7 linked regions of the Oryctolagus cuniculus genome follow. The protein of the gene in region 1 interacts with the protein of each later gene in a pairwise test. Links are inferred from orthologs where the notes say so. Each region holds a gene or a part of one and is shown on either strand. Other genes may lie near its edges. The genes, in order: VAPA, ADGRG7, CACNG1, OPRM1, PGRMC2, ZBTB22 and APOD.

Evidence for each region.
Region 2: the proteins of VAPA (region 1) and ADGRG7 interact in binary tests that used the Homo sapiens proteins (3 or more experiments, as listed by UniProt). The two-hybrid records come from large-scale screens. The link is inferred for Oryctolagus cuniculus from reciprocal best matches to the Homo sapiens genes VAPA and ADGRG7.
Region 3: the proteins of VAPA (region 1) and CACNG1 interact in binary tests that used the Homo sapiens proteins (3 or more experiments, as listed by UniProt). The two-hybrid records come from large-scale screens. The link is inferred for Oryctolagus cuniculus from reciprocal best matches to the Homo sapiens genes VAPA and CACNG1.
Region 4: the proteins of VAPA (region 1) and OPRM1 interact in binary tests that used the Homo sapiens proteins (3 or more experiments, as listed by UniProt). The link is inferred for Oryctolagus cuniculus from reciprocal best matches to the Homo sapiens genes VAPA and OPRM1.
Region 5: the proteins of VAPA (region 1) and PGRMC2 interact in binary tests that used the Homo sapiens proteins (3 or more experiments, as listed by UniProt). The link is inferred for Oryctolagus cuniculus from reciprocal best matches to the Homo sapiens genes VAPA and PGRMC2.
Region 6: the proteins of VAPA (region 1) and ZBTB22 interact in binary tests that used the Homo sapiens proteins (3 or more experiments, as listed by UniProt). The two-hybrid records come from large-scale screens. The link is inferred for Oryctolagus cuniculus from reciprocal best matches to the Homo sapiens genes VAPA and ZBTB22.
Region 7: the proteins of VAPA (region 1) and APOD interact in binary tests that used the Homo sapiens proteins (3 or more experiments, as listed by UniProt). The two-hybrid records come from large-scale screens. The link is inferred for Oryctolagus cuniculus from reciprocal best matches to the Homo sapiens genes VAPA and APOD.

What each region holds. Positions count from the first base shown.
Region 1 is NC_091441.1:67,108,054-67,111,553, reverse strand, and holds part of VAPA (vesicle-associated membrane protein-associated protein A), read right to left. Parts: coding exon 3,451-3,500; intron 3,012-3,450; coding exon 2,931-3,011; intron 1-2,930. UniProt on the Homo sapiens protein: Endoplasmic reticulum (ER)-anchored protein that mediates the formation of contact sites between the ER and endosomes via interaction with FFAT motif-containing proteins such as STARD3 or WDR44.
Region 2 is NC_091435.1:55,159,989-55,164,153, forward strand, and holds the start of ADGRG7 (adhesion G-protein coupled receptor G7), read left to right. Parts: upstream 1-1,365; 5' UTR 1,366-1,628; coding exon 1,629-1,743; intron 1,744-4,165. UniProt on the Homo sapiens protein: Orphan receptor.
Region 3 is NC_091448.1:13,144,179-13,148,227, reverse strand, and holds the start of CACNG1 (voltage-dependent calcium channel gamma-1 subunit), read right to left. Parts: upstream 2,801-4,049; 5' UTR 2,660-2,800; coding exon 2,431-2,659; intron 1-2,430. UniProt on the Homo sapiens protein: Regulatory subunit of the voltage-gated calcium channel that gives rise to L-type calcium currents in skeletal muscle. Regulates channel inactivation kinetics.
Region 4 is NC_091436.1:13,656,068-13,660,021, reverse strand, and holds the start of OPRM1 (mu-type opioid receptor), read left to right. Parts: upstream 1-1,154; 5' UTR 1,155-1,287; coding exon 1,288-1,580; intron 1,581-3,954. UniProt on the Homo sapiens protein: Receptor for endogenous opioids such as beta-endorphin and endomorphin. Receptor for natural and synthetic opioids including morphine, heroin, DAMGO, fentanyl, etorphine, buprenorphin and methadone.
Region 5 is NC_091439.1:36,456,585-36,460,873, forward strand, and holds the start of PGRMC2 (membrane-associated progesterone receptor component 2), read left to right. Parts: upstream 1-1,489; 5' UTR 1,490-1,700; coding exon 1,701-2,118; intron 2,119-4,289. UniProt on the Homo sapiens protein: Required for the maintenance of uterine histoarchitecture and normal female reproductive lifespan. May serve as a universal non-classical progesterone receptor in the uterus.
Region 6 is NC_091436.1:135,808,029-135,811,959, forward strand, and holds the start of ZBTB22 (zinc finger and BTB domain-containing protein 22), read left to right. Parts: upstream 1-1,131; 5' UTR 1,132-1,143; coding exon 1,144-1,295; intron 1,296-1,406; exon of another isoform or gene 1,407-1,520; intron 1,521-2,163; coding exon 2,164-3,931. Other genes in the region: DAXX (death domain-associated protein 6), read left to right, coding at 1-204, 321-543, 625-684. UniProt on the Homo sapiens protein: May be involved in transcriptional regulation.
Region 7 is NC_091435.1:84,039,770-84,044,021, forward strand, and holds the start of APOD (apolipoprotein D precursor), read left to right. Parts: upstream 1-1,452; 5' UTR 1,453-1,505; intron 1,506-4,252. UniProt on the Homo sapiens protein: APOD occurs in the macromolecular complex with lecithin-cholesterol acyltransferase. It is probably involved in the transport and binding of bilin. Appears to be able to transport a variety of ligands in a number of different contexts.

The sequences.
Region 1 (3,500 bases):
CATGCTGATACAACAAGTAAAAGTCTGTGGGAAAGCCTATAAGTGAATCAAGTTATTTCGAACCTATAAATTCAAGAGATTTAAGAAACCTATCACCCATAGCCATATTTAGATTTTATTTTCATCTCAATTCAAACAAACTACAAAAAATAAAATAAAATAAAATAAAACTTTGGGCCGGCACCATGGCTCAATAGGCTAATCCTCCGCCTTGCGGCGCCGGCACAACGGGTTCTAGTCCCAGTCAGGGCGCCGGATTCTGTCCCGGTTGCCCCTCTTCCAGGCCAGCTTTCTGCTATGGCCCGGGAGTGCAGTGGAGGATGACCCAAGCCTTTGGGCCCTGCAACCGCATGGGAGACCAGGAAAAGCACCTGGCTCCTGGCTTCGGATCAGTGTGGTGCGCTGGCCGCGGCGGCCATTGGAGGGTGAACCAACGGCAAAAAGGAAGACCTTTCTCTCTGTCTCTCTCTCTCTCTCTGTCTACTCTGCTCCACTCTGCCTGTCAAAATAAATAAATAAATAAATAAATAAATAAATCTTTTTTGATGACATTTGCCAGGCAAGTTTGAATGCTGCCTGATACTAATGATATGTCAGATTTTTAATGGTGTATTAATGGTACTATCATTAAAAACTCCTTTATCCCCTCTTTTAAAAGTCCTTTGAGAAGGCTAAGTGTTTAGCCTGGAAGTTAAGATGCCAACATGCCTGCATCCCACACTCGAGTGCCTGGGTTCAATTCTCAGCTCCTGATTCCAACTTCCCTCCCGCCAATGCAGACCCTGGAGGCAGCACTGATGACTCCTGCCACCCAAGGGGAGATCTACACTGCAAAGTTCCTGGCTCCTGACCCAGCCCTATTCATTTCAGGGATTTAGGGAGTGAGCCAGGAGATGGGAGTACTCTCTTGGTTGCTGTCTCTCAAATGAATTTAAAAGTTGGAAGATATAAACTAAAATATGAGAGTGTTTCAAAATTAGTGGGAAATGGAATTAAAAGATAAGGTTATTCTAATGTGCAAATTTTTGAAATCCAGGCATAGTTTCTCCTCTCCATAATATTCTTTTTCCATCAATTTTTGAAATGCTCTCATAATTACTGATGAAATTACGTAATTTCTGGGGTTTGTCTTAAAACAGTAAGTGAGATGGGAAGTAGTGGGACCTAATGAAGTTCAGATTAACCACAAGCTGGTGATCATTAAAGTTGGTCACAGGTTCACACTACTCTTGCTTACTTTTTTCTAAATGTTTCCAACTATCTACTTTTTAAAATTAAAATGATCTTCAGAAGATATTCTCTACAATTTTATATGCCTCATATTCAAGTGGTTTGATCAGTGACAATACATACTGCTCATTAAAGCTCAGAGTAAGATATTCTCTTGAGAACTTCTAAGCTACTGAACAGTCTTTGAGTTACTAATAATATTTGCTCTGAAAAGGTTCCAGGCCCCAAACCACTACTGGTCATACACCACAGTGGGACACTCTGGAACTCCATTCAGTAATTTTTCAAGCACTAATGCAGATCCCAAACCGCTTTCTTGGTTAACTATGGATTACACCTGTATGTAGATGCATATACTTTCCTCCATGAGGCAGTAAATGGCTGGTGTCCACTTCACAGACCTATCAATTTCATCAACAACTTCTGGTTTCGAAAGCAATGAAAGTTACCCTTAATTAGCAGTATCAAATACCTGGGTTCCAGCCCTTTCAGACTAAAATCTCAAGTTGTCTGCTATTTAGAACATTATAAAAAACCTTATAAAAGATCTAACTACGTTTATCAAATTACGGTTAAAAGAAAAAAAAAGATAAGCAATTCTAAGGAAGAAAACAGCCAGACAATGTCTTAAGTTTCCCTGGTTCCAGTAAGAAGAATTATACAAGATACTGGTTTCCTTGCAATCTAGGAAAAAGAAAATTCCAAATGTGAAGTATTAAGCATGCCACATTTTCTGTTTTTGGCAAGTGCCTCAAAATGTATTTTAAAGGGCATCTTAAAAATTCAATAAACAATTTGACCAACAACTAACACCCAATACTATCAGGGACTTTTTCAATTCAGTGTACACAATATAATAACTGGGCCTGTATATTTACCTGTACATTTTCTTTTCAATAGCTCAAATGACTGCCAGGTCAAGGCAAGAGTCATGTCAGATTATAACCAAACTGTGTCTAGTAATTCTACTTGTCCACATTATAGTGTATATTAAGGCATCACCCCCTCCCCTCAAAAAAAATAATCCTACCTTTCTAAGTCCCTCCCACAAACCACAGACATGATTTATAAAAACAAATTTACAATGCAGAGAGGAACAGGAAAAGTAACCACAACCAACTCCATATGTTCATAGCCTACTGGCTAACTTTTTTTTTTTTTTTTATCTATACACCTATATCCCTCAGTTCCCCAAATGGTACTCACTCACATTCATTCACACTAACCAACAAGAAACAAAAACTATTCATTAAAGCATAAAATAAGGTACATTTTTACCTAAAACAATAAAGTAAGCAAAATACCTTGGAATATCTTAACATGGAAAATAAACTGCTTGTCCATTTAATCTTTTATCCCCCAAACTGCTGCTGGTACATAGCTGCCAAGAAGCAGTTTATAACTGTTTTTTAAATATATTTATGTATCCAAGCGTCAGTTTCATTCTAAAAAAGAATTTGAAGTGATTTAGTGGCATAAATCTGGTAGAAATAAATGTTTCTTCCCCATCATACAGCTTGTACCTAAAAGTGACATTTTTCTTCTTGGACAAACACAATGCAAAGAAAAAAAAAAGTTTTTAAAAACTCAAGTGAGCACTGAGTCTCATTAAGTACCTGAAAGGCCAAAAATAGAAGCAAATTCAATCAAAGTAACTGACAGCTCAACAACTGTCAATTTCCTTACATTTTTCTACTTACCAATTTATCATTTTCATTGGGCATTTCAAATACACATCTCAATTTAGAATCCATTAATTCATCAGGTTTTGCCTCTTTCCACTAAAATAAAAGCAAACATTAAACACAGAGGTAAGTTTCACCTCAAGGGACAACTAAAGGATGAGCAGAGCTGCTCGAAAGCACCTGTGAGAGCCTGCAGCTCCGGGGGACTGCACTGCTATCCTCTGTAGTTATCACCTTGGCACTGACATTCGCTAAGGTCACAGAACCTGTACAGAACCCAAGATCTACTACCACCACCCAGTGAAATCACACTGATATCACTGGCGGTTACATCACTTTCTTCTTTAACAATAGCACGGCTAATTATTTCCACAAAATACTACTTCAAAAATCATTCCTGAAATTCAGGATCATCTGTAATGAACAGACTAACAATGTTTAAATTTTTAGAATTAGTTTTCTCCATTGCGAACTAAACAAAACGTTTAAACAACATTCCCCAAAATAAATTCTGCTCAACTTCCTACATACTTACCACAGCTTCCATATCTGAAGTGTTTGGTGGAGCAAAAATGGTCTGTACCA
Region 2 (4,165 bases), on another chromosome or scaffold:
CTGGGGAGTGAACCAGCAGTTGGAAACTGTCTCTTTTTGTAACTCTGATTTTCAAATAAGTAAATAAATCTTAAAAAAAAAAAAAAAAAAGCAGGGTTGAGGTCCAGGTCATGGAGGGCATGCCCTCAGAAGGTAGACTTCATTCTCGGGGACCCCTCAGGTTCTGTTACAACCGGGGCAAGCCTGGTCTCACCCGGCTCTCCGTGCTCTGGTTCCAGATGTAACCACTTGCCTGCTCGGGCATTCGCTCTCACCCTTGCCATGCACCCCCTACGTGATGCAGCCACCAGGTGGCCCTTGCCGAGCCTGCGCCATGCTGTTTGACCTTGGAGCCTCCAGAACGTGAGCTAAAGCAATCTCTTTTCTTCGTAAGAGATTTGACTCTGGTGTTTCCTTTGGGAGATGAAAAGTCGATAGATACAGTTGTCTTCTCCCTGTGTCTCTCCATATCCTCTAGGCACACGGTGTCCAAATTTCCTCTACTTACAAGGACCCACCATGTCGGAAGAGGGCTCTGCTCGTAATCTCATTTTAGCTTGATTACGTCTATAACAACCTTATCTCCAAAGAAGGCCACATTCTGAGGCACTGGGGGTTAGGACTTGAACGTGTGAATTTTGGAGGACTACAGTTTGCAACAGTTGGGTTCTAATGCTGGGTTTAGTGCCTTTTTTTTTTTTTTTTTTTTTTGACAGGCAGAGTGGACAGTGAGAGAGAGAGACAGAGAGAGAAAGGTCTTCCTTTGCCGCTGGTTCACCCTCCAATGGCCGCCGCTGCAGCCGGCGCACCGCGCTGATCCTGGCAGGAGCCAGGAGCCAGGTGCTTTTCCTGGTCTCCCATGGGGTGCAGGGCCCAAGCACCTGGGCCATCCTCCACTGCACTCCCTGGCCATAGCAGAGAGCTGGCCTGGAAGAGGGGCAACCGGGACAGAATCCGGCGCCCCAACCGGGACTAGAACCCGGTGTGCCGGCGCCGCAAGGTGGAGGATTAGCCTATTGAGCCACGGCGCCGGCTGGTTTAGTGCCTTTCAAAACTCACCTGGTGCCCATGTACCCATTCAACAGCCACAACTGTCAAAATGTAGGCTCCTTAAAGAAACACAAACACCAGAATGACACATGGCTGTTGCTGCTTATCCTCAAGAAGGTATTTGTGTTACCTGAAACATCTGCTGGTCTACCTTGGCCAGATCCTTTAAAGTAAAAGCACAGGCAGCCAGGCCATGGATGACCACCAGGATTCACTGCCTGCCTGGTCTCCTCTTCCTTTTTCTCATTTACTTTTCACTGCTGCTTGGCTGCATACTCACCCTTTGGCCCTCTTGGCTAGCCCCTCCCCTTCTGCTTTATTGCCCTAAGTTGTCTTTTCCCTCACTACCAGTTCACCTCTTTTCTCTTTCGCTGGAGGATGAGGATATTTGCAAGCAGACAATGCACCTTTTAGGAGGTGATTTGAACTCCCTCCTCAAACATCCGAAAGAAGGGGGACATCTCCCTCCCTGTGACGGAGCATTGAAAGGAGGGATGAGTTGCATTCTTTAGAATGGTTTCTGATTAAACTTCTTGACTTAAGGAGAAGCGAAGTCAGTTGCCTTTCCCAAAGGAGCAGATTTGTGGCTTGGCCTCACCATGGTTTCCTGCCGTGCCTGCAACCCCAGGCTGCTGGTGGCCCTTGTGTTTGGGCTGCTGATGACCATCGTTCTGGGACTGGCCATCTGGAGGCTGGTGATCAGGATCCAGAGAGGTAATGGCTTCCTGCTACAATTATCTCAGAGAGAAAGAAGGCATTGCGCCTCTGTCCCTGCTGCCTAACTGCCACTACTGGAAAGTTCCTAGTCGTTTGATGGCTGGAGGGTGGTTGTATATATGACGGTGTATGTGTGCCTGTGAATGGGAAAGGGGAAGGATAGCATGGTTGAATTGGCTTCTTTTTTAAGGAAAAGGGTTTATTGGGGGAAACCCAATAGACTATAGGGGAGGGGTGAAGAAGGAAAACAGAGAAGGAGAGTGAGAGAGCAAGAGACAAAGATCAGGAGGTGGAGAGAAAGAGAGCCATATGTTCAGGAACAGGTCCTTTTAAAACTTTGCTGGGGGGCGGGCAGGTTGAATTGGCTTCTTTATGCTCTTAACTCCTGGCCGAATTGATAGCAGAGTAATAACAAAAATCATTAGTAACACATGTTTTGGCTTGTTTGGCAAATTCGAGAAAGGTAAATAATTATGGGCATACATATGTACTTGCATACATGATCAAACGTGCAGAATGGAATTGTGTTTTAAAAAGAGAATCTTAGTCATCTTATGCTAAGTAAACTGACTTTATGGTTTACTCAAAATGTCTCACTTTCCAGGTGTAGAACATTACCCGAAAATTAAAATCATTAAACAATGATTTTTTTTTCTCCCTGGTGATTCAAGAAATATTTTCAGGTTCCCTGCTGTGTACCAGCAGTGACATGGGAAAGGCAGGCAAGGGAGGGGTAGTTATGTATGAAACAAGGATGTTCAAGAAAAACTCTGGGGAACTAAGAAACTCAAAAATCCCAAGGGTGGTTCCTTAGGTTGCAGAGGTTCTCCACGAAGGGATTCCACGTTGGGTGTGCTGTAGAAAGTTTCTACAGAGGCTGGGTAAGTAGGGGTAACACATGCCAGTCAAGGGAGCTGCAAGACAGGCATCTGAGCAGGAGGGTGGGGGTAGCAGGCAGGAGCACAACGTGTGGCTGCAAAGATCCGTCGCTGAGGACAACAGGGGTCAAATCCATTGACTGCTGATAGGGTGCTGGTAGCTGGGAATGGGACTGCCCCTCTCCCCTAAACAGCAATATTTACAGGATACTATATTAATAGAATTTAGAAAAGTAGAAAATGTGTCAGAATCAAAATAAGAAAATTTAAGCTCAGGAAAAATGTGATTTTGCTTGGATAAGGTTTGTGTAAAATAGTTTAATTCATATTTAAAAAATTATGAACTAGGTGTTTTGCCTAGTTAGGGCTGCTAAATTTGTGAGATTTCATTTAAGGGGTCCATATTTATGAAGTCTTTTCTTCCTTCTTTTCCTCTTACTTGTGACACCTAACTTATAAAAGACACAGTTACACGGGGCTGGCCCTGTTAGTGTAGTGGGTAAGGCTGCTGCTTGCAGTGCCAGCATCCCACTTGTGCACCGATTCAAGTCTGGGCTGCTCCACTTCCAATCCAGCTCCCTGCTAATGGCCTGGAAAAGCAGCAGAAGATGGCTCAAGTGCTTGGACCCCTGCAGCCACGTGGGAGACCTGGAGGAGGCTCCTGGCTGCTGGCTTTGGATCAGCCCAGCTCTGGGTGTTGCAGCCATTTGGGGAGTGAACCAGCAGATGGAGGATCGATCTCTCTCTCTCTCTCTCTCTCTCTGCCTTTCAAATAAATACATCTTTAAAAAAAAGATACAGTTACACTAAGTCTGATAAAACAAAGCCCAAAGTACAGAAACCACATAAGGAAGAGGGCTGGGTGAGAGAGGGAAGGCTATAATAGTCAAAGTTTATGGGGAGTTGCTTAAAATAAATACAAAAACATATCTTTGGGATTCCTGACCCAAAAGAAGAATAGTCAGTAATGAAAATCTTGATAGGCGCACACTAGCCCCCTAGAAGAATCATTTTGCCTTGCTCTGCTTTATTCAATTGGTTTTTTATAAAAAGAGCTCTCCCTCAGTTTTCAGGTAAACTTTCTTTTTTTTTTTTTTTTTCAGGAAAAGGAGACAGTTACCATTATCATTTAAAGAAAAAGACAAAGACTGGGTCTGTTTGTTGTTGCTACTACACCTTGCGTAGTTAGTACACAGAGCATCTTGCTGGGTACATTCTGTTCTATTCCATTTTATGCCCTTCTACTCACTGAGCTCCTGTCTACTCCACTGCTTTCTTCCCATCAAATCTCATGCAGCTGTTGAATGTTCTCACTTGGTCCCTATGTGGGATAGAGATGAATTGCTTTTAAATTTATTTTTTAATGGTGTGAGAGGCCCTGCATATTTGTGAAACTGTTGAGAACTATGAATGTCATAAATATAATTTTTTTTATTAGAGAGAGGGAACTCTTTCATTGATGCTTCACTTCCCAAATGCCTGCAACAGCCAGGGATGAGTTGGGGCCAAAGATGGATGCCGGAAATTCAATCCAGGTCTCC
Region 3 (4,049 bases), on another chromosome or scaffold:
TCTCTCCTGAGCCTGTTGGCAGCACCGTGCATGCACAAGGCCTTCGAGGTGCCCAGGAATATGTTGGAACTTTCCAAAGCTGCCAACGGACATCATATCCTCCAGCGTTTGGGCTATCCCATTATTAGCACCAACTGTTTTGTGCTGTCTCAAGAAGCCATGATGTTACACAGTTGGCTCCAGTTGTTTTCAACAAATGCTCCCTGGGAGAAAGATTGGTGGCACTGGAGAGCTCAGAGCCAGGTCAGATAGAGGCGATTTGTAAGTGGGGACTTGCAGGGAGCCACAGGACAGGTCGCACAATGACCGCTCTGAAAACAGAGCCGTAAAAGAAAGCTGGCCATTTGTCCCCCTCAGTGGCTGTTGGGCTGCTATGTTGGTGATGACTGTGAGATGTTGAAGCCACGGCAGACCTGGGGAGGGTGCGTGGGAATGGGCAAGTCTCTGTTCCTCCTGAGCTTCCCTTGTTTTTCTGGAATTCTGTGAGATTTGGTTAATGTCCAGTGTCCTGTCAATTTTTGCCAGAATCCTCATGGCTTTTATGGGGAAGATTTGGGGGCAGGCATGCCTTACTCTGTCCTATTTTTCTGACGTCATTTCAAGTGAATTTAGGAAAAGCATTCACAACAATACATGCACACAGTGCTACGTTTGCGTGCCTTTGTTGTTGCTTTGGTTAATAACAAATAAATGAGAGATGTATGAACTCGCTCCAGAAAACGGTGGTCCCGAGGAGATTAAGGAAGGTAAAGGTACATTGGGAAGGAAGCAGACATCTGTTTGCAAAAGAGGAAAAAGGCCGGGGGGACATGCTTGGGAGGATTATTGGAGGGAAGGCAGTGCTGAGTGCCGCAAGTGCATGATTCACGCCTGGGGCGGGGGCGGCGTGGAGAGGCCAAAGAGATGGACGCTGCTCAGGCTCAAGGCCAAGTGTCGGTCCCCTGGGGCTGGCCTGGTCACCTCTGGCCAGTCTGTCTCTTCCTTGTGTGGACTCTGCCCGCTGCCCTGCTCATCGGCTCTGACTTTAAAAGGCAGATGGCTCCAAGGACAGCAGCTAGGACCATGACAGTGTCCCTGGAGGAGCCGCCTCGCCCTGCCCCGCCCTGCCCTGCCCAAGGGAGTTGGCTGGAGGAGGCGTGTGTTTACGGGCGTGCTCAGCGGTGGCCGAGGGCATGAGCATCTGCGCTATGCGATAGCCCATGAGCACATGCCCACGCCTGTCAAAGCTCCCAGCCCTGGACTCAGCGTTTCCAAGACAGCTGAGGATTTACGAGTCCTCTGCACGCCCCCCGGGGGCACGCGGGGCAGGGGATCCCTGGAGCAAGTGGCAGGGGGAGGAAAGGGCGGCATGGGGCTAGGGGCTGGGCAGACTGCAAGACCTCTGGGGGCTCAGCGCCACCCGCCTTAAAGGACGCCCTTTCTGAACACGCATGTCAGGTGGGACGGTGTCACTCACAGCCTGGCCGGCTGCCGCCTTGGAGGGACCTTGGTGAGCTCTGGGAGGGATCGTGTGTGGCTGAGACCAAGTCTCCTGTTTTATAGAAGAGGCAGCAGGAGGAGCTGAGCTGGGCTTTGTCTGCCCAGAAGCCTCCTCTAGGGAGCAGGCGGCTAGCGCGTGACTGGGGCCCAGGCCTCCGCTCCCCGCACAGCACCCGCTGCCCTGGCACACGCTCTGCTCACTGGAACTCCGTGGGCCCCACACGTGCAGAACCGACACTCTTCCCAGGGATCTGTCTTGCTCACGCCCCACGTCCTGGACCGAGGGCTCACCTGCAGCGTGTGGCTGGGTGACACTGTGGGACAGGGGACACTTTGGAATCTGAGAGAGCTGAGTTCAGGGGGCCCCTCCGGGAGGTCTGTGGGCTCCCACGAGCAGGCAGCCGGCTTGCATGCTGCCACATCCCACTTTCCAGGGGTGCAGCCTGCACAGTCACACCCACCCCAGAAGCGCCCCACACCCTGCGGCCGCCTACCTGAAACGCTTTGTCGCCGGAAACTAGGAGCCCTGCCTTTTCATTCTGCAGGAGGCACTGCAGACCCTGGAGCTGGCCCTGTTTGCACCCTTGCCTGGGCACTGAGCAATGAACCTGCCGGGCTGGGGGCACACGGCCACCCAGCCTGGGGACATGGGCTGTGACCCCTGCTGAGCCAGAGGCCCTGGTCTGGTGGACCTGCGTCTTCGTCCTGGGCCTCTTGTCCCATCTGTGCAGCTGTCTGCTCTGGGCGCATGGCCCCATGTTCTAATAGCTGGAAACGTAAGCCCTCCGTACATGGCCGTGCCATGCGCAGCTCTGTCTGCCCTGGGCAGGGAGGGCTGGGGTGCTGCTTGGACCCGAGGCAGAGAAACCTGCCTTTTTTCCCACGGGCACCTCTTCCGGGGCACCTGCGACAGGCAGGAGGCAGAGAGGGGACAGGGCATGGATACGTTACCCCCAGGCAGGGTGATGGGTCCGCAGCTCCTGTCCTCGCCCAGGGCGATGCGCTTGGTGCAAATCCGCCACAGGCCGAAGTGGGCGGCCTCGCAGGTGGTGTTGTGGTTCTCCATGTGGGGGCTCAGCACGGCCCAGTGGTCGCTCACCACGGCCGTCATGGCCAGCACGATGCCCACCAGGATGCAGAAGAGGGTCACGCGGACCTTTGGGGCTTCCGTCGGGGACATGGCGGCTGCAGAGGGGTGGGTGCTGCAGGTAGGGTCTGGCGGCGGCGCCTGCCCGTGCAGGTGGCGGCCCGGCTAGGGTGGTGGCCGTGGCTCCGGAGCTGGGGGTGGAAGCTAAGTTTAGTGTGCCCGGCTGAGCCAGAGTGGGCCGGCCTTGGGGCTGGGAGACGCGGGCTGGGGCTGAGCAGCTGCCAGACACGTCAGGGGCCTGAGCGAGGCTTCTATTAATGCCTCCAGCAGGGCCCAGGACGGCGTCTGCTCGGGTTTCAGCGCTTTCTTCCCCTCTTGGAGCCAGGGTGGGGCAGGAGGAGGCTTTACAGAGTGACTTGGAGTGGACGGGGGCGAGGGATGGGCCACCTCGTGTCGGGTGATGCACCTGCTCTGGCTGCAGAGGTCCTGCTAAGCCAGCACAGGGCCCCCGGGGAGGCCCTGCTGCTTCCTGGTCTCACACTGGGCAAGCCAGCTGCCAAGATGGGGTCCTCATCCCGGGGAGTCAGGGGACCCAGGGTCTTGCCTAGGGACAGCCCAGGGCCCTCTGCCCAGGGCCTCTGGAGCCCCCTCCCACGCAGTGCCTGAGCCCGCACAGGAGCCCAGCCCCACCGCCCAGGCCTGGGAATCTGCATGCATGTTCCTCAGCCAACTGTGACCTCACTATGAGAACACCTCTACCTCCTCACTTCTCTTCCTGTTCCTGTCCCTGTTCAGGGCTAGGGAACGTGTGCTGGAACAACCGCCCTTAGAGACAGAGAGAGGCCCGGAGAATACAGCTGGACTCAGCGGCACCACTGTTTCTATGGAACTGCTCTGAGCGCCGCCTCCTCTTCCAGGCAGGTCATAAAGATTCCTGGCTGTATTTTCACTTACAAAGTTAAATGCAGGCCGGCGCCACGGCTCACTAGGCTAATCTTCCGCCTGCGGCGCCGGCACCCCCGGTTCTAGTCCCGGTTGGGGCACCGGATTCTGTCCTGGTTTCAGCTCTTCCAGCAGACAGTGCGGCCCAGACAGTGGGGTGGTGTGATGTGCCAGCTCCCAGTGGGATGGCGTTTGGAGGCGGGCCTTTGGGGGGTGGTCTGGTAAGAGTGGTGGCTTGGGGCCCTGATGAGAGCCCAGAGAGCTCACTTGCTTCCTCTCTGCCATCTGCAAGCCAGGAAGAGAGCCCTCACCAGAACCTGACTGTGCTGGCTCCCGGCTTCCAGAACAGCACTTGGCTGTGGTGCCCTGGGCTGGCGGCATGGCGGGCGGTGGATCCAGGATGGCTGCGTCAGCATGTTCTTCACAGACCACTGGTGGATGGGTTTGCTCTGAGCTTCGGAGGCTGAGGTCACTGAGGCTGTGAGGCACTCACTCTAGGTCCTCCCAGAACCTTCACAGATGCTTATTGAGAGGTTTGATG
Region 4 (3,954 bases), on another chromosome or scaffold:
ATTTCCAGTGTTTATGGCTAAAAGATATTTTCATGCACAGAAATGAGAATTACTGCAGAATTAGTGTTGGTTTTTTACAAATAATATTCTTACTGTATTTACATTTTTTTTAATTGGAAGAGCTCACGGACTTAAAAGTGAATACAAATTTTTTTAATGTATCATTGTTCCTCGAGAACATTTTGTGGGCTACTCCAAGCGCAGAAGTTTATGTACTTCCTCCTGGAATGTCTACACTAGAAAACGGAATGAAATAAAACAAAATTTGTTGGGTTTAACAGCCTTCTTCTGAAAAGTATACGCCTATCTGGTATGTTCGCAGATGGAATGTATAATCATTCTGAAAGGGTCTTGGAGACCTCAGATGTGGATCAGTAATATCTTCAGTTGACTTTTTTGCATGTCACAATCTACCTAATTCTATGGAAGGATGCAAATGGAACATCTATTCTTAGAGAAACTGAAACAATGAAAAATAAAGGGAGCAGGTTTCTTCCACAAAGTTTATTTATTTATTTATTTATTTTCATAGAGATCCTTTCTATGAAAATAAATAAATAAATAAATAAATAAAGGATCTCTCTGGGTACAGACAGGTTTGTAGAGTTGGAAATTTCAAAGACATGATTGTCTTCTGTCAGATGAGGCGATGTAGAGGAAAGAGGATCTTGTGCCCCCTACCTCCAATAATTGTGGTGGGCCATAGAGATGGAAGGGCATTGGGGCTCAAGGGCTGTTAGAGTTATAGCGTGCCAGTGTCTTTCCTCGTAGATTAAAAAGAGAAACCGGCGCTGGAAAAATGGAGATCTATCAGCCCCCTCGTTTATGCTTCCCTGCTATCAAAAGTAGCTCTGTTCCTCTCTGGCCACCCCTCCCCTCCAGCTCCCTTCCAGCTCCGCCCGCCCTCGAGGTGTTTGCTCTCAAGAGCGCGAAGGGTGAGGACCAACTCCTCCGATTGCTTTGCGCAAAATCCACCTCCCCCCTCCTCCTCCCCTCCAGCCTGCGGAGCCCGCACCGCCTGCCTTGCCCTCCTCAGCCCTGTGGTGCCGGGTTGGGATGAGCCTCTGTGTACTACGAAGGTGGGAGGGGCCACCAGCAGAGGATAATGTCAGACGCTCCGCTGTCGCCTTTTGCCTGACGCTGCTTTTGGCTCCGCGAGGCTGGTCCCGGTAAGAAACCGCAAAGAGCTGCGGCCGCCGTGGCCAGAGCCAGTGGCTGAAGCGCCCAGAGTCCGAGTCCCAAGGCTCCCGACTAGCTGGCCTCCCGCTCCCCAGCGCCGTCAGCACCATGGACAGCAGCGCCGTCCCAGCGAGCGCAAGCAATTGCACTGATCCCTTTGCGCACTCCTCCAGTTGCTCCCCAGCACCCAGCCCCGGGTCCTGGGTCAATTTGTCCCACTTCGATAGCAACCTGTCCGACCCGTGTGGACCGAACCGCACCGAACTGGGCGGACGCGACGGCCTGTGCCCCCCGACCGGCAGTCCCTCCATGGTCACAGCCGTCACTATCATGGCCATCTACTCCATCGTGTGCGTGGTGGGTCTCTTCGGAAACTTCCTGGTCATGTACGTGATCATCAGGTAAGGAGGGCGCCAGGGCTGTGAACGGGGAGTTCAGCGGCTAAAAGGGCTCCCAAAAGGCCCTTGCATCCCAAGACTAAGCGTGTGGTTGGGGGCGACCCCAGATGGAGCGGTTGCTGTGTGTGTTTGTGGATGGGGAGCTACTTTTCTATTTTTTTTCTTCCACTGGTAAAGAAAAAATCCAAAAATTCAGGAACAGAGAAGCTGTTTTGATAAAAGGCATAAAGCTCTGGGGGTGAGAGTTGGGGGAAAATGCTTCATGTTGAAGCTCTCCCTTGTACAGAGACAAGAAAACTCTTGGCACAGAGTCCTACGGTGGCTCCCTTTGCAAGAGCTATGGCATCATAAGTTGTGAAGAATGGGGGAGGACGTTTAGGTGTGTTTTTTTCCGAATTGGGAGGCTGAGTCCACTCAGGTGGCAACTTTCCTACTTTTGCTGGTACAGGAGGACTTCTCTGTAGACAGCCCCACCCCTGATCTTCACGTGTACCTATTCCTGCTTCCACCCTAAGGCCACATGAGGCAGAGGAAGTTTTCCTGGTATCTCTCCCTGGTAATGTCACTTTGTTACCTCCACCCTTTGCAGTTGACAGCTGTGGTTCTGCTACAGCAATTGCAAGCTGCATCTTGAGTGGGTAGGGTGGTTCAGGAGAACAGAATTGTTTTTCAGTGTCTCCACACATTGGAACAGATGAAGAGTGACCCATCATAATTCTCCATTAGAAACTGTTACATAGGAAGTTGTCATAGGCACTCTGGGAAAAAGAAAATGTGTCTTTAGTAAAATTATTTCGAAAGAATTTATGGTTTACTGTCTGTTTCCCAGATGTTCCAGCTTCATTAGACAAGGGGTGAGCAAATTTTCAATATTGAATGAGATTGATGTTGTTTGTGTTGGTCTTGATATGTATACCAAACACATCATGTGAATGTGGAATACTAAATATTCACTTTTTAAGAAGTAAACAAATATTTTTAGCTGTTTAACATAGTTCCTTAGTAAGGCTTGTTTCTTCCCATTGGGGGTTGTAGGTATGCAGCCAATGTGTCATTTTCATATTTAGTTACAGTGTTTGCTTCACCTATTCAGCAAGTATTTCGCAGGTTTCAGTGGAGTACTTGAATCCTTTAACAAATAATCACTGTTCCCATTATGCTTTCCTTAGCAAAGTGCTGCAAATTGCTTGTAATTGACTTGTCCTATTTATATGCCTGATTTCTTTAATTAATGTTTGTTAAAAAGTAAAGCTAATTTCCCTGATACTTTGATAAGCAATAAAATAAGAAAGTGTCTCTGAGAAAAGAGCACCATCTATTGAGTGGACAGCTAACAACAGAAGGAAAATTTCAGGAAAAGAATCAATGAAAGAATTTATTTTAAAAAAAACTGCTTTCTGTAATTCAATAAAAAATTCATATCAGAGAAAAAACTAGTCTTATTCTGCAATTACGACAATAAAAAGTATAATTGAAGGTCTACTCTTAAAAAAGAAAATGTTTCTCATTTATCCCTTTAAAAATCACATAGACTGATAAAACTAGAATGACTACAGATTATCTTTGCTCTGTGAATAAAAGGTAAAGAAAATATAAATGATTCCTCTTAGATATCACTATGCTCATAAATGTGTATACATGAAATTTGTTCACTTTATATAAATAAAAAAGTTGAAAAAAGATACCACTGAACCAATCTTAGCTAGCATAATTTTCTGTTTGTTAAGATGACAAACCATGATTTAAATTAGCCAACTACTAGATTGACAGAGTAGATTTAGTCAGCAGTAATAATGATAGAACAATAAATTATCAAAAATGTATATCTATGGAATCCTGGAGCAAAAAACACGATATAAATTACTGAGACATCTATAAACTCCACCATCTGAATCATGATCTTTTATCCCCTTTCATTGCTTCTCCTTAGCATTTTACTCCCTCCCCCCACCCTCTAGTTTATTCTCTGCTATAAGGAGACATCCAATAGCACAGAAATAGGCTGTGAAATAAACAGATTGGCTTTATTCCAGTGTTTAAGAGGTTGTTACTTGGGTGAGTTTGTTTTAAAGGCATTACTTCTGGCTCCTTGTTGACTTGGAGAAACATGGTGACATTGCATCTTACTGAGAACGTGATATTATGCTTTCTTCTCTGTACTGAAAGTTCTGAAAAAAATGCAGTACTCTTTTAAATGTCACCCCAAACATCCACCTGTGGTAGGTTGAGTGTTTAATTCCAAGGTCAGATAACCCTCTGAGGATTTGACTGTGAAACAGAAAACTAGGCAGTTCAATGACAAATGATGTGATGGGAAGAGCATCTAAGGATGGAAGAAACTGTGTCAGTTTATCTGATATTATTTAACTGACTGCCT
Region 5 (4,289 bases), on another chromosome or scaffold:
GAGGTGGGTGATCAACTGCCAGAGGCACACAGAAGGGACACATGGCAGAGGGCCCAGACCCCAGCAGGCTGGGCCTCTTTATATCTTTGGTGGGCTAGAAGCTGGGGTGGAGGGCAGTAGGTGGAGGTGTGTTTCCCCACACAGGTTCAAGTTTGGCCCACTGGCTACCAAACTTGCGTTAGAACCCAGAGGGTAGGGTGGAGAATAATAGGGCGTGAGACTTAACTGGCCTCTTGAAAGCAGGCAGGAGTAATGTGACCCTAACATGGCTAAGGCTTACGTCCTTGTTCCAACACTCATCAAACCAGGTAGTCTGGGAAGGCTCAGAGAACACAAAGAGCAGACCCAACAGGAAAGAGGGCAAGTAAGTCACGTGCATGAGACAGCAGCACCAAGAAAGAAGCTTCAGGAGTGACTATGTGGGGTTTCCAGGATTTGAAAGTACAAAGGACACCCCAGGAACAAAACTGTACATAAAACTAAAGCGAGGGGTCTGCGCCCGTGGCATAGCAGGCAAAGCCACTGCCTGCAGCGCTAGCATCCCATACGGGCGCTGGTTCCAGTCCCAGCTGCTGCACTTCTGATCCAGCTCTCTGCTGTGGCCTGGGAAAGCAGCAGAAGATGGCCCAAGTCCTTGGGACCCTGCACCCACACAGGAGACCCAGAAGAAGCTCCTGCCTTCGCATTGGCACAGCTCTGGCCATTGCAGCCAATTGGGGAGTGAACCAGCAGATGGAAGACCTCTCTCTGCCTCTCCTCTCTCTGTGTAACTCTGACTTTCAAATAAATTAATTAATGGAAAAAAAAATTAAAGCAAACACAAGGACCACGCCAGCCCATCCACATCCAAAGTGCCACAGATTAGGATCCAGAGAAAAACTAAACGGTTAATCTCAAGTAAGAGTTCTACAACAGCAACCTTGAGCAAAGCCCAAGGGGAGCGGCTGCTTGGCGCCGCGCAATCGCCACCGAGACTGCCGATACCAGGGAAGTCCAGGGCCAGCTCCTCGCCTAAACTTCTGGATGCTGTCCCACCTCCAGGGCCACGCTCCCGGGGGAGCAACAGACATCTCTCATCGACTTGCTCCCAGTATTTAAGATCGCGCCGAGGCCGCCCACACACCACCTGCGCCGGCCCGCCCCCAGGGCCGCCTCCGCACACGTGAAGCGCCCGAGCGCGGCGAGAGCAAAGAGGCGGGAGTTCACGGCCGCGAACCCAGGCCTGGGAAGAGACGCGAGCCCCGCGCGCACGCGCACAGCAGGGAGACGGGGGGCGGGGGGAGCGGGCCTCTCCGAGAGGCTGCTCTGGAAAGGAGAGCGCGTGGCGCTCCGGCATCGGCGCACGCGCTGTGCCCTTGCCCCGCCCACACGCGCGTGCGCGCACGCGCGCTGTCGGCGCAGCATGTTTTTCTTCAGATCCGCCCTCCTCGTCTGTTTCACAGATCCGAGGCGAGGAGCGAAAGCGGGGAAGTGTGGGGCGAGATGGGCGGGGCGTCGCACGCGAGCGCGGCCTGCAAAAGAAGGGAGGAGGGGAGAGAGCCGAGACAACGTTACCCCGTCAACACCCAATCAGGAGGCGGCCTGTCCCCGCCCTCTCCCCTCACGTTATTGGCTGGGAAGTCCCCCCTCATGGGCGGGGCCGGCCTGGGGTTGGGGAGGGCAGGGGGCGGGGAGGAGGAGGAAGGCGCTGGCGGGCAGTGATGGCGGCGGGTGATGGGGACGTGAAGCTAGGCACCCTGGGGAGTGGCAGCGAGAGCAGTAGCGACGGCAGCAGCGAGAGCCCAGGCGGCGCGGGAGCAGCAGCGGAAGGGGGCGGCTGGGCGGCGGCGGTGCTGGCGCTTCTGACGGGGGGCGGGGAGATGCTGCTGAACGTGGCGCTGGTGGCGCTGGTGCTGCTGGGGGCCTACCGGCTGTGGGTGCGCTGGGGGCGGCGGGGTCTGGGATCCGGGGCCGGGGCGGGCGAGGAGAGCCCCGCCGCCTCTCTGCCTCGCATGAAGAAGCGGGACTTCAGCTTGGAGCAGCTGCGCCAATACGACGGGTCCCGCACCCCGCGCATCCTGCTCGCGGTCAATGGGAAAGTCTTCGACGTGACCAAAGGCAGCAAGTTCTACGGCCCTGGTGAGGAGGAGTTGGAAAGGGAGAGGGAGGACCCCCTGTAGTGCAAGCACGACTCCCCCTTCTGACGGGGAGGCCCCTGGGCACCAGGTTAGTTCGCCCAGTCTTCTTGTCGCCTGGACCCTCGCGCCTGGGCTGCCTCACCTGGGACGGCCCTCCCCCCACACGCCCCCTGCTGCGGACGCCGTCGGCTTTCCAGCAGGTCGGGGTCCCCCTGGGACCCCAGGGACCAGCTCTCAGCGTTCGTCTGTCTCCCATTCCGTCTCTCCTCGCAGCGTCTTCTTCAGCCGAATTTTGCAAAATCCTTAAATAGTTGCCTCCAGCCGAACTGGCCCTCCACCTTTCCTGAGCTTTCTAATTCCGGGGATGGGTGCGGGCTGGAGGGAGGGAAGATTTCTAAAGTAGGGATCTAAAGTTCCGGCCTTGGTAATTCACACTTTTTTCTGCCACTGATCCGGCTCCCTTTCTGCCTACCACTCCTCATAAGGCCACGTTTAGGGACACGTAATTCCCAGTCCCAGCCCTTCCAGGCTGTGAAGTCCAGACGTATAAGCAACGTCTTTTAAAACCAGTTTGCGTTCTGAGATGCTTTCCAAGATTAACAATGTATGTGGGATGAGGACCGTCGGAAAGGCAGATCTGATTAAAGATGGGCAAGGATATTCGCCCTTAAGTGTTGGGGGCGGAGCTCATATACCCAGCAGGCGCGCCTCTTTTTTTTTTTTTCTTCTTTTCCTCTTATTTCTTTTTACCTTTTTGACTTTTTTTTTCCTTTTTTGCTGGTAGGAAAGCGAATATTCAGATTCAAACAAGGTAACAATGACCGATGTTTTCAATTACCAGAACTAAGAAAAAACTTGGAAGAGCTTTAAATCCCGCATGCACCAGTTGAAAATTAAATATTTTTACAGTTTGCTTTCAGAAAAGTGTGTTCATTTCGAAGCTCTTCACAGTGTAGTTGTAGCATGCATTTCAGATCATGCTGATAAACTTCAGACTTAAGGAACCTGTTGGTATTCCATAGAATTGAGCAACATTGTACATCCTGGCTGTGCAATGATACTTTGAAAAAAGTGACTACAATAAGAATAAATAATAAAGTTAGAGACTTAAAGTGACTTGTTATTAGAAAGAGTACATCGACCCCTTAAAGTCAAGGGGCTGGCAGTCTAGGAACAAGCTCATTTCTACCTTGGTCTGATCTGTTAGGCCATGAGATTTATTGACACTTACAAAATATATTTGATTTCAGTGCGTGCTGCATGGCAGGTATTTTGGAAGTACTTTGGTTTGTCGTTTAATTGGAAGATAAGAAATTGGAGATTTTTGGTGTTAAAACTATTGAATTTGTTTCCTAGTTGTATTCCTGTTTGTTATGCATTCTGTCCAACTATAGATTGCATATAAAGTATTTGTTTTTGTTTATATATGAATACCAGATGTCTGTTCCTTGTATCAATTCAGATAATACTTATTTTTTATACTTAAGGGTATGTGGGACAAGTGAAATTTTATCTCAAGGATTTACATAGTATGTTCCTCCTAAAGTTTCTCCTGATTGATATTACAGAGTGTTCAGTGATAAGAAATGGTGTGTAGGTTTAATTTCTTAATACAGAGCTTACCCAACTAAAAGCAAAATATTAAGTGAAAGAAGTGTATTAGTCCCCACACTTTATGATTTACCACTATCTGCAGATAGTTAGAAGAGACAGTCATACACTCAGTTTGGCAGCCTCCAGTGGCAAATGTTTTGTGACAGAAACTAAAAATTAAGTGTCATAGATGTTACATTGGTTGCTTTTGTGAGGCTTGAGTTTCAAGGGGGCTATCAGATAGCAATGAGGAGGCCACTTTTTGATAGCTTCCACCAGCTCCCAGGTCCTGATGAGCAGCTTGAGTGTTATTTTATTCTAGGTATTGATCAATAACCTAATAGAAATATTTGGAATATTTTATTATTGAAAAGAACCTGCAAGGTAGCCAGATAGCTAATAGGGACTTAAAATATGTTGATGTTTCACAGTAATAGAAACTGTAGTAACACTTTACCAAAAGTCTTGAAGCCAATTCCTGGCTATGAAAGAGCTGTAAGTTCAATTTTGCTCTTATTTTCATCCTGAAATAAATTAAACAGTTTTGTAGCAAAATTATTTAGATGCAGCATGCTGTAT
Region 6 (3,931 bases), on another chromosome or scaffold:
TTCCCCTGAGGAGACGGACGTTTCCTCTTCCAGGAGGCACGCGGAGGAGCCCGTCACCACTGTCTTGGAGAACGGGGCAGCCGCGGTCACCTCCACCTCCTTCAATGGAGGTGTTTCTCCCCATGCCTGGGGAGGTGCCAGCCCCCCCTGTAAGAAGTCTCGGAAGGAGAACCGGCAGATAGCGTCCGGGCCTTTAGGAAACAGGTAACAGCGCCGGCGGGGGAAGAGGGAAGGAGCCAGAGGGATGCCAAGGGGCTCTCAGGCTGGACTCCCTCCAGCTCCAGCCCCGTGCCCCACTGTGAATTTGTTTCCGTACCCAGCTGCGTGGACCGGGAACGAGCCGTGCCTGAGAAGAACGGGAGGAGGAGCCGGCCCCTGCCCAGCCCACCCTCCCCGCTGGCTTCCACGGCCTCAGCCGCGGACTCCTCCACGAGGGTGGACTCTCCCAGCCATGGCCTGGTGACCAGCTCCCTCTGCAGCCCGTCGCCAGCCCGGCTGTCCCAAACCCTGCCGGCACAGCCTGCCCGGGCCAGCACTTACAAGGTAAGGGCGAGGCCCGCTGGTTGTCCCGCCCGCTCGAGCTCCCCGGGCGCGCGCCCTGACTGTGCCTCTGGTTCTCCGCAGACGAGCGTGGCCACGCAGTGCGACCCCGAGGAGATCATTGTGCTCTCGGACTCGGATTAGCTGCCCCGTCCTGCCTCCGTTCGTTCCGGGATGACAGTGGAGGGGGACGGGGGCGGGGGACTGAGTGACCCCTTCTGGTGGTTTCTTTTAAAAAATAAGCTTAAGTTTTACACAGAAACGTTAAAAACAATAAAATGCTTTTCTTACTGTATCCTGCCTGTTCCTTGTCTGCCGCTGAGGGCCGAGCTCCGGACTCGGATCTGCCCTTTCCTAGCCTGGCCCCTACACCGCTCTCCTGATGCCCCGGGTCCCCGGTGTCCGCTACCGAGAACTTTTTAAAAAAAAATGTGCTTCGGCCTCCTAACGCGCTTTACTTTCTCACTCCTAGCGGTAGGAGTAAAAGGCCAATCAGGGCCCGACTCGAGGTTATCTGGCCAATCCAGGCCCGGAGGAAGGGGGCGGGGCTTCGAGGGTCTGTCAGCGCTGGGAAGAGGACTCTCGGATCTCGCAGACCTGCTAATGGACACGGCTCGGAGGCGGGGCCTGGGGAGCGGCGGCCAGGACTCGTCGCCAATGGGAAAAGGCAGGCTGGTAAAATTAAAGGGGAAGGAAGACTTCGGCCGAAACAAGTTCCGAGTCTCCGGCGGAGGAGGGGGCCTGACACCTTTAAGGTGGGATGAGGCCACGGCTCTTTAAAGGAAAAGCAGCCGAGTCGGCCGAGTATTGCCCAGCGGCACGGGCGGGGTGCTTGTCTGTGCCTTTAAAGTCGGAGGGACGGGAGGCGGAGCGGAGGCGGAGGGCGGAGGGAGTCGGCGCAAGATGGCGGCGGGAGGGGCCCAGGCTGCAGCTCTGGCCGCCGAGTGAGGGGCGGGGGGGGCCCGGGGGCGCGCGGCCCGGTAAGCGGGGACGCGCGGGGTTGGGGGGCGCCTTCCGGGTGGGAGAGGAGGCCGAGGTAGCGCTTGGGGCGGAGCAGGCGGGGGCGGGGTCCGGCGGGGGCGGGGGTAGACAAGGGGCGGGGTCGAAGGGATCAAGGGGGGCGGAGCGCAAGGCAGGTTCAAAGGGGGCGTGGTTATAGGTGAGCTGGGGCGGAAGGGGCGTGGCCTCGGGAACTGGGGGGCAAGGGGAGATGGAGGTGGTGTTCTGTGGGGAGGCAGACGTGCCTTCTGTCGAAAAGGAAAGCACCAGACACCCAAAAGGTGGATTTTGGGAAGTCAGGCTCCCAGGGTTACAGGGTCTAGTTCCAAGAGAAGGCACCCCACTCCCTAGGAGCACCGTATTTCCCTAACCTCCCAGGAAAGGGCCCTGAATTCGGAGTCAGGACACCTGCATTTGCTGGCAGTGGCACTTGCTGGCTGTGTGACCTTGAACGATCTCTTAATCATTCGGAGGCTCAGTTTCCTCATCCACCAAATGGGTTGAGAGGCATATCTGCCTGAGTTGTGGGGAGTTACTCAGGTGACCAGTGTGAACATGTTTCTAAACGGTGAAGGGCTGTGTCGTTTTAAGGTCTTAGCGCTCTTCTCTCTTTTTTCTCCCCAGAGACCCCCCCGGCCGCCCTTCTCCTTCCTTTGTTCCTGTGGCTGGGGGGGGTATCCCCTCCCACCACAACATGGAGCCATCTCCTCTCTCCCCCAGCGGGGCCGCACTCCCCCTGCCTCTGTCGCTGGCTCCACCCCCGCTGCCCCTGCCTGCAGCCGCGGTGGTACATGTGTCCTTCCCCGAGGTGACCAGTGCCCTCCTGGAGTCCCTCAATCAGCAGCGGCTGCAGGGCCAGCTCTGTGACGTGTCCATCCGAGTGCAGGGCCGGGAGTTCCGGGCTCATCGGGCTGTCCTGGCCGCCTCCTCCCCTTACTTCCATGACCAGGTCCTACTCAAGGGCATGACCTCCATCTCACTACCCAGTGTCATGGACCCCGGCGCCTTTGAGACTGTCTTGGCCTCCGCGTACACTGGCCGCCTCAGCATGGCTGCTGCTGACATTGTCAACTTCCTCACGGTGGGCTCCGTGCTCCAGATGTGGCACATTGTGGACAAGTGCACTGAACTCCTCCGAGAAGGCCGGGCCTCTGCCAGCACCACCACCGTCACTACTGCTGCAGCCACCTCTGTCACTGTCCCTGGTGCCGGCGCCCCATCAGGGAGCGGAGGCACCTTGGCCCCCACCTCCGTGGGCTCCGGGCGCTCCCATGCCTCCAGCCGGGCCAGTGAAAATCAGTCTCCCAGCAGCAGCAACTACTTCAGCCCCCGGGAGTCCGCTGATTTCTCGTCTTCCTCCCAAGAGGCATTCACGGCTTCTGCCGTGGGCAATGGGGAGCGGCGAGGAGGCGGCCCTGTATTCCCAGCCCCCGTGGTTGGCAGTGGGGGAGCCAGCTCTGGGAAGCTGCTGTTGGAGGCAGACGAGCTGTGTGATGATGGCGGAGATGGGAGGGGTGCGGTGGTCCCTGGGGCTGGGCTCCGGCGACCCGCTTACACCCCTCCCAGCATCGTGCCGCAGAAACACTGGGTCTATGTGAAGCGGGGTGGGATCTGCCCAGCACCAGCACCCCTTGTTCCCCAAGACCCAGACCTAGAGGAGGAGGAGGAGGAAGATCTGGTGTTGACCTGTGAGGATGATGAAGATGAGGAGCTGGGGGCTAGCTCTGGGGTCCCATCAGGGGGAGGGCCTGAGGCCACCCTCAGCATAAGCGATGTCCGGACTCTGACGGAGCCACCGGACAAGGGGGAGGAGCAGGTCAACTTCTGTGAGTCCTCCAATGACTTTGGCCCCTATGAGGGTGGGGGTCCTGGGGCCGGGCTTGACGACTCAGGGGGGCCGACCCCCTCCTCCTACGTCCCCTCCCACCCCCCAAGAGCCCTCCTTCCCTTGGACATGCAGGGCAACCAGATCCTGGTTTTCCCGTCATCTTCGTCCTCCTCCTCCTCCTCCTCTCAGGCTCCAGGCCAGCCACCAGGAAGCCAAGGGGAACACGGGCCGACAACGCTGGGGGGCACGTCCTCCGCGGGGAGCCTGGGCGTGGCCAGCACCCCCGGGGGGACTGGCAGTGGGGACGGAAACAAGATCTTTCTGTGCCACTGTGGAAAAGCTTTCTCCCACAAGAGCATGCGGGACCGGCACGTGAACATGCACCTCAACCTGCGGCCCTTTGACTGCCCTGTGTGCAACAAAAAGTTCAAGATGAAACACCACCTGACCGAGCACATGAAGACCCACACAGGCCTCAAGCCCTACGAGTGCGGTGTCTGCGCCAAGAAGTTCATGTGGCGAGACAGCTTCATGCGCCACCGGGGACACTGTGAGCGCCGGCAC
Region 7 (4,252 bases), on another chromosome or scaffold:
CAGGGGGCCAGAAAGAGGATGCAGCTGGGACCTGGCAGAAGGGGGCCAGGCCAAGGCCAAGGCCACATGATCATCAGCCTGGGCCTCGCACACTCGGGCCTTGACCCCAGACCTGCCCTCTTCCCATGGGTCTACTGGGAGGAGGACGCTGAGCTCCCAGGAGAGGCTGGCGGATCACTCCCTCGGTGTGGACAATAACGTGGTAATGGCCTCTTGGGACACCCACGCTGAAATAAGACAGGGCTTATGTCCCCGTTGGCGGTCACATCATTGAGAGGACAGCACAAGCTGCCTGGTCCCCGAGGTCTCAGGAGACCTGAGCCAGGCCTGGCCTCCCAGTGCCCGTGTCCAGTCCCCTGAGCCTTCCTTCCGCTGCTGCCCACGGGTGGCCATTCACAGCATGGCGTGTGCCTAACACGCTAGCACTGTTAACACGGGACCGCTCTGAAATCACAGATGGCTGGGACAGAGGGGTCCTTACTTGTACCTGAGCAGTTAGGCTGTGTCCCCCAGGCCGGGATGCTTACCACGTCCCTCGAGGCAGTCCCTTCGGCAGTCCCTTCGGCAGTCCCCCCACCCCTCCCCCGCAGGCTGCTGAAGTGGATCTGGGATGGGCCCTGCACTCATCCTCCTAGCCGCCTGTTCTTCAGCATGCCTGTGCTCTGCGGGATTTCTCACGTGTCAGCGCCTACTCTGCCTTGGGTGAATTGCAGGACCCCCCCCAGCAGTGATGGGCTGCCTAGCACATGGAGCTGGCAGGGTCCTGAAGGCACAGAAAGAGGAGCCACCGGAGCCACCTTCTGCTTTCTGGGCTTGCAGAGCTGGTACCTCCCTCCCTTCCACATGCAGCTCAGGAGGGGACAGAAGTGACCACCTCTACTGCACAAAGAGGACTCTGAGGCTTAGGGAAGCTGAGGGTTTGCCCAGGACACCACAGCAAAGCAGCTCTGGTTCCTACTCCTCTCTGCTAACTGAGCCCCACTCCGGTCCAGCAACCACATGGGGTGGAGTCCAGACTCTGTATTAGAAAAGGGAACTGTTGACTGTTCATTTACAGAAAATGAAAAATAAATACCAGCTGTTTGAAAACATACTGCAACTCATCTTGCTGGAATTTAAAAGTGCATCTGACTGGAAAAAATTAAATCAAAGAAGTCCACGTAGCAAAAAAGATGTTTTGAATGAAAATGTGCTTTCTCTCCCTGTCTCATTTACATACACACACACACACACACGCACACACAATAACTCCTTGTTTCTTCTTAGGAGAGCAGCTGTGAAGGAAACCGGGGGCAGGGGAATGGACACAACATCCCATCTGTGTTTCATACAGAGCTGGGCTTTTAGGCCAGCTCTCAGAACTGTAGGGGGTGTGGCATGCATGCAGATTAAGGCCTAATGACCCAATGAAGCTTATAAATAACGTGGGAGAAGCCAGTCACCAAGAGAGCTATCTCACGTCGGATGAATTCGTGGACATCACTCTCTTCTTGGTGAAAAAAAAAGGTATGTACCATAGTTAAGTTTTCATTTATGATAAATAATGCTTAAAATAGAAGCAGTCATGGTCTTTCATTGTTCCCTTTCAACTAAAATTCAGAACCACCGATCGAGGGCCTATGTAGTAGCTTTATGAACTTGGTCTCACTTTTTCTTCAAACTAACATACAAGGTAGGTATTATTAGTGCTGTTTTTCAGGTGCCAATACTGAGGCACAGCTGTGATAAGCATCAGGCCTAAGATAAGACCAAAGTCAATGTTGACTCACCCCAAGCCTTCTGTTTATGCTATGCCTTCCCCCTTGTGAATGAAACAATGAGACAATTTTCCACGCACCAGTACCGCACTAGATGAGTTCTCATGGAGTTATCCAACTGTGCATTACAGTGAAATTAAGTGAAACCTGGAACTAACTGTGGGAATAGAAAATGCACTTCACAATATGGCATAGAAATATTTCCTTCCATTCTTGTTGGAGTTGGTGGCCAAGTGGGTTTTTTTTTTTTAAAGATGTATTTACTTGTGGCAACATGTTTTATTTTGTATGTGCAACCTTAAAATCTGCAGCTCCCAGAGATACAGGACTGTGTCCACAGAAACCCCCACGCACCAAGAGCAAGGGCTCTTAGGAGAGCTGAGCTTAAATTCTGGCTTCGCGGTTTACCGAAGGGGAGGAACTGGGGCCATTATCTCCATTAGGACAAAGAGAATATCTGCAGAGATCATTTCCAGATGAGGTGTTGTAGAGACTCAGGGCAGAACACACTTAAAACACTAATGCCAAGCCCTCACCATGAAGAAGATCAATGGGTGTATGCAGAGATTCGCAGGCAGTGCCTGGTCCAAGATAGATGCAGTGTTGCCATAGTGGAATTACTTTTTAGTTATTTAATATTCAATTTAAAATAATATCCAATAAATTCTATCTCCTTTTGAAAGTATTTAAAGCTCTCATTTGGGCAAGAAAAATATAAGTGTATGTCGTATGCAATCTATATGTCATCCAAGGTCATAGGCATACCTTAATAACACGCTCGCTAAGTGTTGGGTGACCCCCACGGAAGGGGAATTGGAAAATGCTGGCGATGCTATCAATCCTGCATCTCACAGGGAGCTCTGACCATGGGAATTAAGCTACTGCAGCCAAGAAGCATCTTTGGGAGAGGTGCAATCAGGGGGATTAGTCTTGTTCTGAAATCCTCCCACAGAGCTAAAGAATATGTTCCAGCCCACCAGGAACGCTTTGTAATAAGACATTTGTCAGAATCAGATGGAGAACTGCCTTTTGTTCTAACTGTCACGTGCTGACGCCACATTCGTCTCAGGTCACAGAGGCAAGTGCTCATGGAAAGACAGCACAGGAGCGTGCACAGGAGGAAGCCGGGGGCCGAGGCTGGAGTCACAGCTTCTCCCCTCGAGGCCTCAGTTTCCCCATCCGCACACTTGGAAGACAGCGTGGGGGGGGGACTGGCTAGGTGCCCTCCAAGGCCCTGTCCATGTTGGGGGGAGTCTTGCAGAACATGCATAGAGTGGCCACCCTCTGCAGTTAGATTCTCTGTACAGGGCACTTGGCTTGGGTCTTCTGAGATGAGCCGCCGAGGTTCTGAGAATCTCTTGAAAATGAACACAGATTTCTGTGGGCTTGGGTTGCATTCCTGCAAGCCCATCATCCCTGAAAAGGTTAAAAGACAGGAGGCGTTTATTTGGTGGTGGGAGCGGATGGGGAAAAGGAGTCTCCCAGAGGAAGCAAGGTGGTGCCAGGCAGACTTCACTGGGGGGGGGGGGGGGTGAGGCTGGTGGGGGAGGGGGCTCTGCTACCACCCCTCCCCCACCAGCCTCAGCTGGTAGCTTTCCCTCATTACATAACCGTTCTTTTGAAAACCAGGCAAGGAAGCCTCCAGAAGACAAGCTATTGATTATTAAAGTTATCTGGAGGCTCCGAGGCTTGTAATAAAGTGGTTATAATTATGCCTGTTATGACACAGCCTTTTAAATGCTCAGATCTGAGAACACTGTGCATGCGTTGACTCAGTCAGCCTCATCCAGGGAGAGGCAAGGAGCTGGAAATAGCTCGTGGCAGCTTAGCTTAGCTACCGGCTAAGCAGCCACAAGGAAGGGAGGAAGCAGGAGTTCAAGGCCAGCAAGTGGGGGGAGGGGGAGAGGTTGGGGGCCGGGCATGATCTCCCTCCCCTAGCGGGCTAACCCTCCTCAGGACCCTCCGGTTGGAACACTTGGCTGCACAATCACCCATCAGCTGAAGGTCCTTCCCTGGTTAAATGCCCAGTGTCTATGAAAAATACTCTGAATAGAATGTCAAAAACAAGGAAGTTTGGGAAATGCAATAATGCAATCATCTGTAGCTGCCTTTCAACAACAACTAGGGATCCCGGAGCACTGAGACTGAAGTACTAGGTCATCTCATGGATTGCTCACAGCTATGAGTGTTAGTCCCACTTCACAGACAGCCACTGAGGCACAGATAGACCCAGGACACTACTGTGCAGCAGAGCCAGAACTCAAGCCCATTCGGGGTGACCCTGGAGGTCCCCCCCCCCAAAACATACACGCCCCGCTCCCTGTGGAGGTCCCAGGCCCACTCTCAGGCTGGCCAACAGGGAGGCCTAAGACTTCAAACCCTGCACACGATTTTGTTTGTTTAGCTTTTCCCTCTCACGGCTTGCTGGAAGGCTTCTCTCGCCCGCTTTACCTGCCGCTGCCCCACGCCGCTGCTGTTCCTTTCTGAGTCTGACA